Canis lupus familiaris: one gene and its partners. The protein of the gene in region 1 purifies or fractionates together with the protein of each later gene. This does not show direct contact. Links are inferred from orthologs where the notes say so. Each region holds a gene or a part of one and is shown in the gene's direction. Other genes may lie near its edges.

The links.
Region 2: the proteins of RSRP1 (region 1) and PSME3 purify together in Homo sapiens (affinity purification with mass spectrometry; 3 studies listed by BioGRID and IntAct, counting the BioPlex papers as one, with this or other methods). This does not show direct contact. The link is inferred for Canis lupus familiaris from reciprocal best matches to the Homo sapiens genes RSRP1 and PSME3.
Region 3: the proteins of RSRP1 (region 1) and C1QBP purify together in Homo sapiens (affinity purification with mass spectrometry; 3 studies listed by BioGRID and IntAct, counting the BioPlex papers as one, with this or other methods). This does not show direct contact. The link is inferred for Canis lupus familiaris from reciprocal best matches to the Homo sapiens genes RSRP1 and C1QBP.

What each region holds. Positions count from the first base shown.
Region 1 is NC_049223.1:73,938,092-73,942,176, forward strand, and holds the start of RSRP1 (arginine/serine-rich protein 1), read left to right. Parts: upstream 1-1,212; 5' UTR 1,213-1,435; intron 1,436-1,580; 5' UTR 1,581-1,646; coding exon 1,647-2,181; intron 2,182-3,371; coding exon 3,372-3,523; exon of another isoform or gene 3,524-3,946; intron 3,947-4,085.
Region 2 is NC_049230.1:20,058,229-20,061,884, reverse strand, and holds the end of PSME3 (proteasome activator complex subunit 3), read left to right. Parts: intron 1-69; coding exon 70-137; intron 138-232; coding exon 233-287; intron 288-416; coding exon 417-503; intron 504-1,372; coding exon 1,373-1,453; 3' UTR 1,454-3,142; downstream 3,143-3,656. UniProt on the Homo sapiens protein: Subunit of the 11S REG-gamma (also called PA28-gamma) proteasome regulator, a doughnut-shaped homoheptamer which associates with the proteasome. 11S REG-gamma activates the trypsin-like catalytic subunit of the proteasome but inhibits the chymotrypsin-like and postglutamyl-preferring (PGPH) subunits.
Region 3 is NC_049226.1:31,558,811-31,563,017, forward strand, and holds the start of C1QBP (complement component 1 Q subcomponent-binding protein, mitochondrial), read left to right. Parts: upstream 1-1,398; 5' UTR 1,399-1,482; coding exon 1,483-1,693; intron 1,694-2,253; coding exon 2,254-2,404; intron 2,405-4,207.

The sequences.
Region 1 (4,085 bases):
CCCAGTTGGAAAGCAGATGCTTAACCGACTAAGCCACCCTTTTAGACTCTCACCACCCCTTCCGTTTTAACCAAAGCTCAAGACTGCATCATGCTATATTCCAACACATCCCGTTTATACTTGTCAAAACTGAAACTCATTTTTTTCTGTCCACTCACACAGCTTTATGAGAAATTCAGCAAAAGTTCCTGGCAGTTGGGCACTGTCTTCTCAGTTTACTTGATACCACTTAGAAAAATGTTTCTAAGGAAATATTTCTTTCCTTAAGAGTGATTTCCATCACGATGCTTGCCTAGAGATGCAGATGATACTGTGACAGTGCCAAGGCAGGTTACATGAGCGGATGCAGATTCTGTGATAAGGTTTTTATTCCCTCCGTTTCTTTGGGGGATGTGGGGTGAAGATAAACACGAGAAAAGTGAATTTGTATCTCCCTCCAAAGAAAGTAAAAGTGCCACTCTTGACTTGCAAAGAACCTCATATAATGACTCTATTTACAGATGTGATTAGTTAATTCAATGAAAAGTTATTTCGAGGCATGTCATGCTTTATTAAGCATTAAGTAATACTTGGAATGTTCTCCTCTTTACAAATCCCCGGAAATAAAAGTCACCATTGTTTAATCCCCAACACCAAGCAGAGTCCTCGGAACTGACTTCTCATTCTGACCCCCTCGTTATGGGTCAACTTTCTTGACCTTTACTGGACAAAATACGGGCGTTAAGCAACCTTTTCGAAGCTAACCCTGCAGTGACGGAGCTCCTGAGACGTCCGCGGGGCGGGGAGGGGCGCCGTCCCCCAGCCTGGGGTTCCCCCTGCGATCGCCCTCTCCCGCCGGACACCAGTCAGGAGGAAGTGGCCTCGAAGGGTGCAGGGAGGCTCAGCCCGAGTCTGCAGCTTCCCAGACGGTGGAAGTTGCACCGTCCCGTCCCTGTTTGCACCGGCCCGGCGGGCGGCCGTGAACCCGGGGTCCCGCCGGGCGAAGGTCCCTCTCACTATCACTTTCAGCAAAGAAAACAGAGCCCCGGGGACCCGGATGCAGCAGCTCCGCACCCCTCCCTCTCCCCGGGACGAATGACGCCTGCGCATCCGGGACTTTGCACACGGCGGGGCGGGGCGGGGCGGGGCGGGGCGGGGCGGGGCGGGGCGGGGCGGGGCGCGGGACGAGAGGAGGAAGAGCGAGCGGCGGTTGGGCGAGAGGGGAGCCACGCCCGCCGCGCCGACGTCTCTGCGCATGCTCTGCGCGTCGGCTTCTGGTACTTTCGACCCGGCTACCGCCGCCCTCACTTCGGGGCTAGAGGTGGAAGGGGGTGGTTGACGCTCCGCTTTTCCAGAGCAGCCTCCGAAACCCTCTCTTCGTCCTCAGCTTCGGAAGGAGGGTGTCCGTGGGTCCTTTCCTTTCGCCTTCGCGGTGAGGCGTCGACGGCCTGTGGCGGTAGGTTTCCGGGTGACGGGGTCGGCCTCTGAGGCGGGGGCGGGCGATGGTGGTGGCGGCGCGGAAAGGAGCGGCGGGCAGGGCGGGCAGTCGGCGTGGGGCCCGCCGGCGCGACTCACTTCCGGCCCCCCTCGCCCCCCGGTAGGTTTTAGGCGCCAGGTTTCCGGGCAGGGATCCTCTGACGGAGGGAAGCTTGCAGCCTCGGGCCGAGATGTCCCACTACGTGAACGACCTGTGGCCCGGCTCGCCTCAGGACGGGGAGTCCCCCTCGACGTCCCGGTCGGGCGAGTCCGGCCGCCTGTCCTCGGCGTCCAGGAGCCGCTCGTCTAGCGGAAGCTCTCGGTCTCGCTCCAGCGGCTCGAGCCGGGCGTCGTCGCGGAGTCGCAGTCGGAGCCGGCCCCGGAGGAGGGGCAGGTCGAGGTCCGGGTCCGTTAGGCGCCACCAGAGGAAGTACAGGCGCTACTCGCGCTCCTACTCGCGCAGCCGGTCGCGCTCCCGCGGCCGCCGGTACCGGGACCGGCGCTACGGCGCGACCGGGAGATACCGCCGGTCGCCGTCCCGGCCGCGCTCCCGGAGCCGGTCCGGCTCGCGGGGACGCTCGTATTACCGACGGGCCTACGCGCTGCCGCAGGGCCGGCGCTACTACGGCTTCGGCCGCACCCTGTACCCGGAGGAACGCGGAAGTTGGAGGGGCAGGTCCCGGAGCCGGTCGCGGAGCCCCACCCCTTTTCGCTTGAGCGAGAAAGGTGAGTCGGCTGCCGCCTCGCCCTTTGACGTGGCTGGCGACGACGCGAGCGCGCGGGGGGACCAACGTTGCCGTGGAGTGTGGCGCTTTCCATTGCTTTTGGTTCCTGTAATTTTACTAGTTTCGTTGGGAGGAAGGAGGGAAGGGACAGATTAAGAGCGGTTAAAAGCGCTCCATTTGGTACCCAGTTTTGTTTTGTTTTACTTTAAAGATTTATTTATTCATGAGAGATCCAGAGAGAGAGAGAGAGGCAGAGACACAGAGGGAGAAGCAGGCTCCATGCAGGGAGCCCGGCGTGGGACTCGATCCCGGAACTCCAGGATCACGCCCTGGGCCAAAGGCAGGCGCTGAATCGCTGAGCCACCCAGGGATCCCCTGGTACCCAGTTTTAAAGTGGACAGTCTTTTCTCCTGGGGATTGGAAGCCGATTGTGGTATACGTCCTTTTTTCCTAGTGGCTGGCCCTTCTCAGTGGAGCCTTTCTAGCTGTTGCTAGTGATTTCAGTAGTCTGTCTTAAGCTTTTAAGAAAAGAGGAGGATCACAGTTTTTTTTCCTCCATACCACGTTACTGGAACTGCTGTATTTTGTTCCAGTGTTTTATTTAGAGATTTATCAGAAAGAGCACCTGGGCAGGGGAGGGGCCAGAGGGAGAAGCAGAGGGCCTCATGCAGGGCTCTAATGCCAGGCACCTGGGAACATGACCTGAGCCACCCAGGCGCCCCAGTTTCAGTATTTTTTTTTTACAAGTGATTTGTTTTACCACTGGATAGGATCATAGAACAGAAAAAGACATGCAAAGGAGTATTTTAGGAGTCTGAAAATAGATTTAGTAATGTGTCTGTATTGGTTAATTAGTTGTGATGTTTGTGCCAAATACAAAATCTTTTACAAGAGGACTTGATGTTCAGAGTACACATTTGAAGAGGAAGGGAAAACAGGAAATTCAGGCCTCTTTGGTAAGGCAAATTGAAAACCAGTTGTTGAGATTCTTTAGGGATGCTTGCTTGTTTTTCTTAGCAAAAAAGATGAGGTGAAGAATTTTTTGTCATCACAGCTATATTTTACCCACTAAAAGAAAATACTTCAATGTCTTTGAATTGTTAGTCTAAATAAAAGAAACTTACTTTGTGATTCACTGTTCTTTGGATAAACGTACTGAAAGATTAATGAATGTTTTGTCTTGTTTTATAGATCGAATGGAGCTGTTAGAAATAGCAAAAGCTAATGCAGCAAAAGCTTTAGGAACAGCCAACTTTGACTTGCCAGCTAGTCTCAGAACTGTTCTTGGATCTAGAGAAACCAACCGTGGAACAGCTGTACCAAACAGTGGTGCAAAGTTTGAGGTAAGTATGGTAGGTTTAGCCAAACAAAATCTTCAGAAAACTACTGTTAGGAAGATCTAATAAGCCATTTTTATTTGATTTATTTTAGAGTGTTTCTTGGAAAGCCTAAATAAAATATGTTAAGATCAAAATAATTCTAGAAAGGGTCTCTCCCCCCATGAAAATGGGAGATTAATGATGTTTATTTTTATGTGACTTAGTAGTAGTTATTTTCATAGTTGTAGGTGATACTTTGGCAATTTCTATGTAGCTATCAAATTTTTCTAAGCAGCCTTTACAGAGTATTTTATCAGTAGTTTTCATTTGCAGCATTATGTTCCCACAAAATCTCTTTTTCAGCATACAGTATAGTTTATCTGCTTTATTTCTGTCTTATAGAAATCATGAATGTGGTCTCCAGACATTGATGAAGAAAATCTGTTGGTAATTGATACATGGGCAAAAGCATCAGAGGTTTAACTAATTTGAAGTTTACATTCACACACTGAAAGTTTAGATTTTTGTTGGTAGAATCATGTGCATGCTAGAATTTGGGATAGGTACTGTTTTCATAAGATACTGA
Region 2 (3,656 bases), on another chromosome or scaffold:
CCCTGCTTTCTCTTTGGCTCTTTGAGTGACATGGAAGTGACTTGACCTCGACCCTTGGGTTTTTTTTAGGAGGAGACAGTTGCAGAACTAAGAACTGTTGAGAGTGAAGCTGCATCTTATCTGGACCAGATTTCTAGGTAGGGCTTCTTGGCGTGGCCCAGGAATTGGGGGCTGGTGACATACCAAGCACTATCCAGGGTCTTCTGCAGCTTCTTCCTCTTTCTCCTTACAGATATTATATTACAAGAGCCAAATTGGTTTCTAAAATAGCTAAATATCCCCATGTGGTAAGTAAGGGTGTGGGGGTCTGAGGGTGGAAGTGGAAGGAGAGGGAGGAGTGGCTGTTACTCTGCAAGAGCTGCCACCTGTGGACAGCCCGGCCTCAGCAACTAGCCTTTCCTCCACCCTCCTTTCAGGAGGACTATCGCCGTACCGTGACAGAAATTGATGAGAAAGAATATATCAGCCTTCGGCTCATCATATCAGAGCTAAGGAATCAATATGTGAGTAACCTTGGTCCCTGCCCATAGTCACCCTGCCTGTTAGTCCTAGGGGTCATGTTCTTTGTCATTTTCTGGGGTTTGAGGTGGGGGATGGAGTAGGATAAAATGAGTAGGATAAATTCTCATTAACTGAGTTGAGAGCTGAGATCATTGAGGGTGCATAGCTGGGGATCTCCCTTTCTGTTTAGATAGCAGGGAGTGTAGTGCAGTATAGGTGTGAAAATGTGAGCATTAGAGTCACAAGGTTTAGGTTCAGAACAAATTCTTCCTGTAATCTGTGGCCTTAGGCAAGATGTTGAACCTCAAATGTCAGTTTCTTCATCTCTAAGATAGAACTTAGAGTATCTATGGCACAAATATGGGGGTTTTTTGTTTTGTTTTTTTACAAAGATGGTTTTTAAAAATGAGTGAAATAGGGGCACCTGGTGGCTCAGTTGGTTAAGCATCCAACTCGTGATTTTGGCTTAGGGCATGATCTCCTGCATAGTGGGATTGAGATTAGTAGGACTGCCCTGTGTTGAGCTCCACGCTCAGCAGGGAGTCTGCTTGAGATTCTCTTTCTCTGCCCCCTGCCCTCACTCACCACTTGCTCTTTTTCCCTCAAATAAATTAATTTTTTTTCCAAAAATGAGTGAAATAACATGTTAAAAGACCCAGTACCATCGTTGATTGTTATTCGACACTTGGGGCCTGGGAAGTATCCAGGAATCCCCAATGTGTGGGTATGTGAGAGACAGCCGCCCTGAATTCAGGTTCCAGTGAGTGGGATTGGGATTTTGCATGTGATTGGTTGGGGACTTGTGGGGGTATCTAGTTTCTTTGGGAGGTCAGATGGAACAAATGTGTGATTCCTTGACCTCTTCTCCCAGGTCACTCTACATGACATGATCCTGAAAAATATCGAGAAGATCAAACGGCCCCGGAGCAGCAATGCAGAGACACTGTACTGAGGCCAGGGCCAGGGCCAGGGGACTCTGTGAGTCTGGCTCAAGACCGACATTGCCTTGGTTTGTTACATGACTATCGTGATGGGGAAACTGGCTGGAAATAGTAATCACACCTCTCTCTGTTTTTAGTTAGAGTCTAATGAAACTCTCATGTAGTTCTGTGACGTGTTTACCTCTTTTTTCAGGCCTCAGGAACTCTTCTATTTCTTTCCCTAATACCCCACACCTGACCTGTCCTAATTTCTGGAGAATTCCAGGTTTGTGTGTGCAGGATATTGGCACAGGAATACTTGTGTTTTCTCTCCTTGCCCTCTCCCTCCTGTGTCTTGAGCTTTGTGTTTTCTTCCTTCTGTTGATTAGTTCATTAGAAGCTGAGGGAACTGGAAGGAAAGTGCTAGGTGTTTTTTAGGAACTGGGGTGGGAGGGGTCCAGCTCCTCTCCTCTGATGTAAGGTTAGTGTCTCTTGCCACTGTGTGGGACATTGGATCCTCTCTCCCACAGTTTTCCTGGTGATAACTTAGGGTTTCCCATCCACATACATCCCACCTTGAACCTGATCATGACAAGAAACACCTTAGGCCTTCTGCCAAGTCCCTAGCTCCTTGAGATGTTTTTATAACCAGGATTTTCACATACACATAGGTGTGTGGTATACACATACGTACAGACATGCACGCACATGCCTTCCTACTCTTAACCTGATTTCCCCATCGCATAGTCTGTGTTGTTGTCCTTTGTCCCCCCAACCCCCTCCCCAAGAACTCTGTCACACACACACATCATTCAGAAGCTGATAGTTGTCTTAGTCCTTACACACTGGGGCCCCTCGTTCTGCTCTTATATACAGGCTCTTGATGCCCAGAGGCTGGTGAGTTGGAGGAGAGCCAAGAGATGAGAAGCAGAGGATCTGGGGAAGGCCCCTTCCTCTGTGACTCCGGTCTTTTGGGGCATCACTGCAAAGGCTGGTCCTCTGGCTCCTGGTTGCCTCTTCTAGGCCAGTTGTAAATTGGCATGGGGCTCCCTGCAGCTCTGAGGGCCAGATGCTGCTGCTTCTGCTGGGCTTTCCTAGGGGAAAAATATTTCTCTTATTTATAGTATTGTGCTTCCAAGGAAAGCAGCACCTGTGTGTCTGTGTGTGTGTATGCACACACGCGTGTACGCTTTGTGTGTATGTGAAAATCTGCCAGGCAAGTCAAAACCGTAGAAGAGTTGCCTCCTATCTCTTGAATCTTCCAGAGAGATCACTTGTTACAGCTTTTCTGTTAACCCTCATCAAACCCCTACTTTTTTATTCTGCCGCTACTGGAGAGTTAGTATTGCAGTCAGCCTGCCAGCGACTCTCTCCATGTCTGTTTCTGACTCTTATTCTTCCCCTTGCCTTCATCCCCAATCATATTTCCACCCAGATGCATCATTTTTACTCCCAGTATGCTGTAAAGGAGTCAGAATGCTGTCTTCCCATGAATAGTACTCAGTAACAAACCAATTGCATTTTAGTTGGGCAGTGCCCCTACCCACCCTCCAGATCCCTTCCAGCTAAAACCCTACCCTTTTCCCACTATGTGTTTCTCAGTTTCCCTTTTTGTTTTTTGGATTATTCTGCTGCCCCTCCTCCTTACTCTACCACCCTTGGATCGTAATGTAAAATTCTTTTACCATGTCAAGAAATTATTAAAAACGCAGGTACTTTGACCTCTTTCTAAAGCTGCAGACCCTGGTGCGATGCTCTGGTGGCTAGGGACATGCCCACACTCAAGTGCGTGTGCACGGGGACACCCACCTCCACATACACTTCCAGCCACCCTATTGGGCTGCCTCTTTTCTCTAAAATAATGGAAAGACTGAGGCTTCTGCCTACCAAGAGGCAGGGGTGGTTCCTTTACTTGTGTTCAGTCTGAATTATGTGAAAGTTAGCCCTTACAAACCTAAGCTGCTTCTGTCTAACCTCCCAAGATACCCAGTTCCTTGCTGTCTCCCTGGTGATACCCATGAACTGCCAGTAGAGGCTGCTCTAGTTCCGCGTGTGGGAGATCACCTGGTTCAAGGCAACAGCCTACCCGGTCATTTTCTTGACCTTATACTAATTCTCCCTGCTGATTAGTGTCTTAAATTTCTTGAGGAGATACCAGGGTTTCCTGCTTTTGGTTTTCCAATGACTTGGAGGGCTGTCTAGGATTCTAGCTCTCTCTGAAATAAAGTTTCCTCA
Region 3 (4,207 bases), on another chromosome or scaffold:
CTGGGGGAGGCAGAGGGTGAGTTTCCTCTGGGAAGCCCTCGACTCTGAGTTTGACAACAGCCAGGCCTCAGGTTTCCAGAGTCTTCTTCAGTGTATGAAAATCCTCTTAAAAAAAATTTTTTTTAAAAGATTTTATTTATTCATGAGAGACAGAGACACAGAGGGAGAAGCAGACTCCCTGCGGGGAGCCCTATGTAAGACTCAATCCAAGGACCCCAGGATCACACCCTGAGCCACAGGCAGACACTCAACCACTGAGCCACCCAGGTGCCCCTATCCTCTTAAATCTTCCCTAACCCTTACTTCCCCAAGCCCTGGAGTGGCTGCATGCCTTCTGCCCCAGGCTCCTGGCCCTGGGCTAAATGAAACCACCACTTAGCTCCAAGATGCCCAGGACCCAACCAAACCACACGGAGACATTCCAAATAACTCCACCAGAGACGACCCCAGGGGCAGCCCCACACAGGAAACTAAAGGATTTGCAGCAAAGGAGGAGGAAGGAAATAACTTCCAAAGCCGTGACTGTCAAGCAGAGGCGAGCAGGTTATTAAGGGTGAGGGATGAATATCCAGGGAGAGCAGCTGTGTTCCCTGCGCAGGGGCGTCCATCAGGTTGCTCAGGTACAAGGTTGAAAACACCTTTACCTGCGCCCTGTCAGGGCAATGAGGCCCCTGCTCCCCCCGGGGGAGACCTTAACCTTGTGAGGGTGGGGCCAGGGGAAGGGGCGATTAGCGCCTCCCCCCCCCCTCCCCCGGGCCACGGGCTGGGGTCTTGGGCTCATCTCCGATGGGAACACCCGCCTTGCTCTTGGACCAGCCCTGGGACTTGTACCGCGAGGTTGAAGTCTGGGATGCGGTTCGGCCGCCCACGTAGTTCTGCATTCCCTTTTATTCCTTAAAATCCGTAACGACTAAGGCTTTTGCATCTGCGATTCTGACACCGCCTTAGGAGGTTCTTCGAGGAGCTGCTAGGAGTAGGGTGTGGGTGCCAAGAACAGCTGGAGGCCCCAAGTGACCTCTCCGGGGCCTTAAGAGCTCTCTTTTTCTGGGCCCCTCCCTCCTCCTCCCAGCTTCCTGGTCCCAGAACAATGCAAAGTCTTGGGAACTGGGTGCACGCTGGTGGGGGGGAGGGGCACACGCTGGGGGCCGTGTGTGTGCGCGTGCCGGGGCTGTGCATGCTGGGGAGGTGCACACAGGTGGTGTGCACGCCGGGGTGGTGTCCACGCTTGGTAAGGGTGGCGGGAATTCAGAGGGCCGGCCCCGGAGCGGAGCTACCCTCGGGGCTCGGGGTCCCGCGGGGAGACCCGGCGCCGGCGGCCCCGCTGACCTCGGCGGCCCCAGCAGAGGGCGCTGCCAGCCCGACGCCCCGGGCCGGCACTGCACAGGCGCGGAAGCGCTCCCGGGGAGGAGCGGGACTTCCGGCGGCGCGCGAGCCGGGATCCGGGCCTGGTTCGTCCTTCGCGCCCGCACGTGCGTTGCCGCGATGCTACCGCTGCTGCGCCGAGTGCCCCGCGCCCTGGGCTCGGCGGTCGCCGGGCTCCGCGCCGCCCCCGCCCTGCCGCCTCCGACCCTGCTGCGGCCCGCGCCCCGGCCGTGCGTGCGGCCCTTCGGGCTCCTCCCTGTGCGCGCGGGCCTCCTGCGCTCCCGCGGGCCCTGCGGCTGCGGCTGCGGCTGCGGCGGGCTGCACACCCAGGGTGAGGCTGGGGCGCGGCGGGGGCGGTGGTCCGGGGAGCCGCGGCCAGGGGGGCGGGGGCCCAAGGCCCCAAACTCACGACCCCCTGCAGTGGACGACTCCAGGTTAATCCCACGTGGCTTGAGGTTTCCTGCCTTAATCCCGAGAGTGGTGGCTCCCTGGCTGGCGGTGATGCTTCTAAACCCCGGCAGCCGGCTCTATCCTGAGCCTCGGAGGTGGATTCGGGGAGGCGGCTGGTCAGAGTTAAAAGCAGGGGAGGTCGTGTGTGGTCTGGGGCGGGTAACGGGAATCGCCTGGCTTCGCTGTGAAATGCGGTGATGGGCTCGTTGCTGGAAGTCATTTTTCCAGAATTGAGCTCAGCCTCCTGCCACGGGTGTCCAGCCCGTTTCCAGGTTGGGAACCGAGGCCCCGTGGGTCTGACTCCGTGCCCAGAGCCTCCGTAACAGCACAAGCATCAGAATCGGTCGAGGCCAGGTTTCCCACAGCAATCACCCCAAGTCGTTTGTTGGTTTAAGACTGACTGGTTTTTCTTTTTCTGTATCTTATGGGTTTTCATTGCAGGGGACAAAGCTTTCGTCGAGTTCCTGAATGATGAGATTAAGGAGGAAAAGAAAATACAGAAGCACAAGTCCCTCCCCAAAATGTCTGGGGGCTGGGAGCTAGACATGAATGGGACGGAGGCCAAGTTAGTGCGGAAAGTAGCTGGAGAAAAGTAAGTGTGGGCTGCAGGGGGTCCCTCTGACCCGGCGCAGCCTCCCCGATCTTCCAGGGATGCCTTAGAGCAGGTCCCCGGACACATGATTTCCAGGTGCCTCATTCACTGCACGCAGATTGGCTGAGCGTGGATTTATTAAGGAAGGAAGGATGTCCTGGTAAGGAAGGCCCTGCCTGACCCAGGCACGCATATCAGAAAGTCTTCTTAAGATTTCATTTACTATTATTATAATTTTTTAAGATTTTATTTATGCATGAGAGACATAGAGAGAGGCAGAGACACAGGCAGAGGGAGAAGCAGCCTCCATGCAGGGAGCCCAACATGGGACTTGATCCCAGGTCCCCAGGATCCCCTCCGGCTGAAGGTGGCGCTAAACTGCTGAGCCACCAGGGCTGCCCTATTTTTGAGAGAGAGAGCACGCACATGGGCAGAGGGAGAAGCAGGCTCTCCTCCTGAGCAGGGTGCCCTATGGGAGCTGGAGCTCGACCCCAGGACCCTGGGATCACCACCAGAGCCAACCCCAGACCCTTCACCAACCAAGCCACAGAGGTGCCCCCGACTGAGATTTGTGCAGTTCTGACGGATTGGGTGCCGCCTCTGCAGTGCAGGGTTCTGGCCGAGGGAAACCCGGCCCTCCCCCTGACATTTGACGTTTACAGTGGGGAGAACCAGCCTGTGGCCCCCATGTGCGTGGATGAAGCCACATGTGCTTAGTGTCCCCGTTAGAAAGGTACAGAACTTTCCATTTGCTTCACCTCTTCACCATCCCTTTTTTGAGTAAAGTTCTGAGATGTTGTGAACTGGGATCTGATTCTTTCTTTGCCTTTATTTGCCATGTTTTTTTTTCCTGCATAACTTCCCCTAAACCATTTTCTGAGGGTAACGTGTAGCCAGTGGAGTAAATATAATGTTCTAGTGAATAGAGCGGCACCTCTGTGCCCAGGTGCTCAGTGTGGTCAGCACCGCGGCACATTAGATAGGTTTTGTAGCTGAATGTGACACCAGCATCCCTGTACGGGAGCAACTCCAAGCACACCGGCAGGGGGGTCCCGAGTACACCCACGGAGTGGGGGAGCTGGCACCTACCTGCGCTGGGCACTCAGACTCGGAGCACAATTTGTCAGGGGAGGGTTCTGTAGCGGAAGACTGTCATGAGGTGGGTGTTTCCAGGCTGCTTCCTCACGATATGGAACTTCCCACAAGTATTTTAAAGAATGGATTTAGGGGGGGCGGGGGCTCAGTGGTTGAGCATCTGTCTTTGGCTCAGGTCGTGATCTCAGGGTCCTGGGATCGAGTTCCAGGTCGGGCTTTCTACTCAGCAGGGTATCTGCTTCTCCCTCTGCCCCTCCCACTGTTCGTGCTCTCTCAAATAAATATATTTTTAAAAACAGCTCTGGCAGCTGTGTTGACGGGGAGCCCCCTCCCCGGGGCCTATCCTGGCCCTCTCATAGCAGCACCCTTGTGTGCCTCTCTTCCCCTGTCCCTCTGGGCAGATCTCATGGAGTAAAGTTCTTACGAGAGGCTACCTGCTGTCCCAGCACCCTCTGCTGCTCACTGCCACCGAATGGCTGGTGGCCAGGAGCCCTGGGTTGGCAGGGTGGGGGGGCAGTTAGTAACCCACTGCGTCTGCACGTGGCGGAGACAAGGAGATAAAGTGGGGCCTGTGGGTTTATTTTTTATTTTTTTTTTAAGATTTTATTTATTTATTCATGAGAATACACAGAGAGGAGAGAGAGAAGCAGAGACACAGGCAGAGGGAGAAGCAGGCTCCATGCAGGGAGCCCAATGTGGGACTCGATC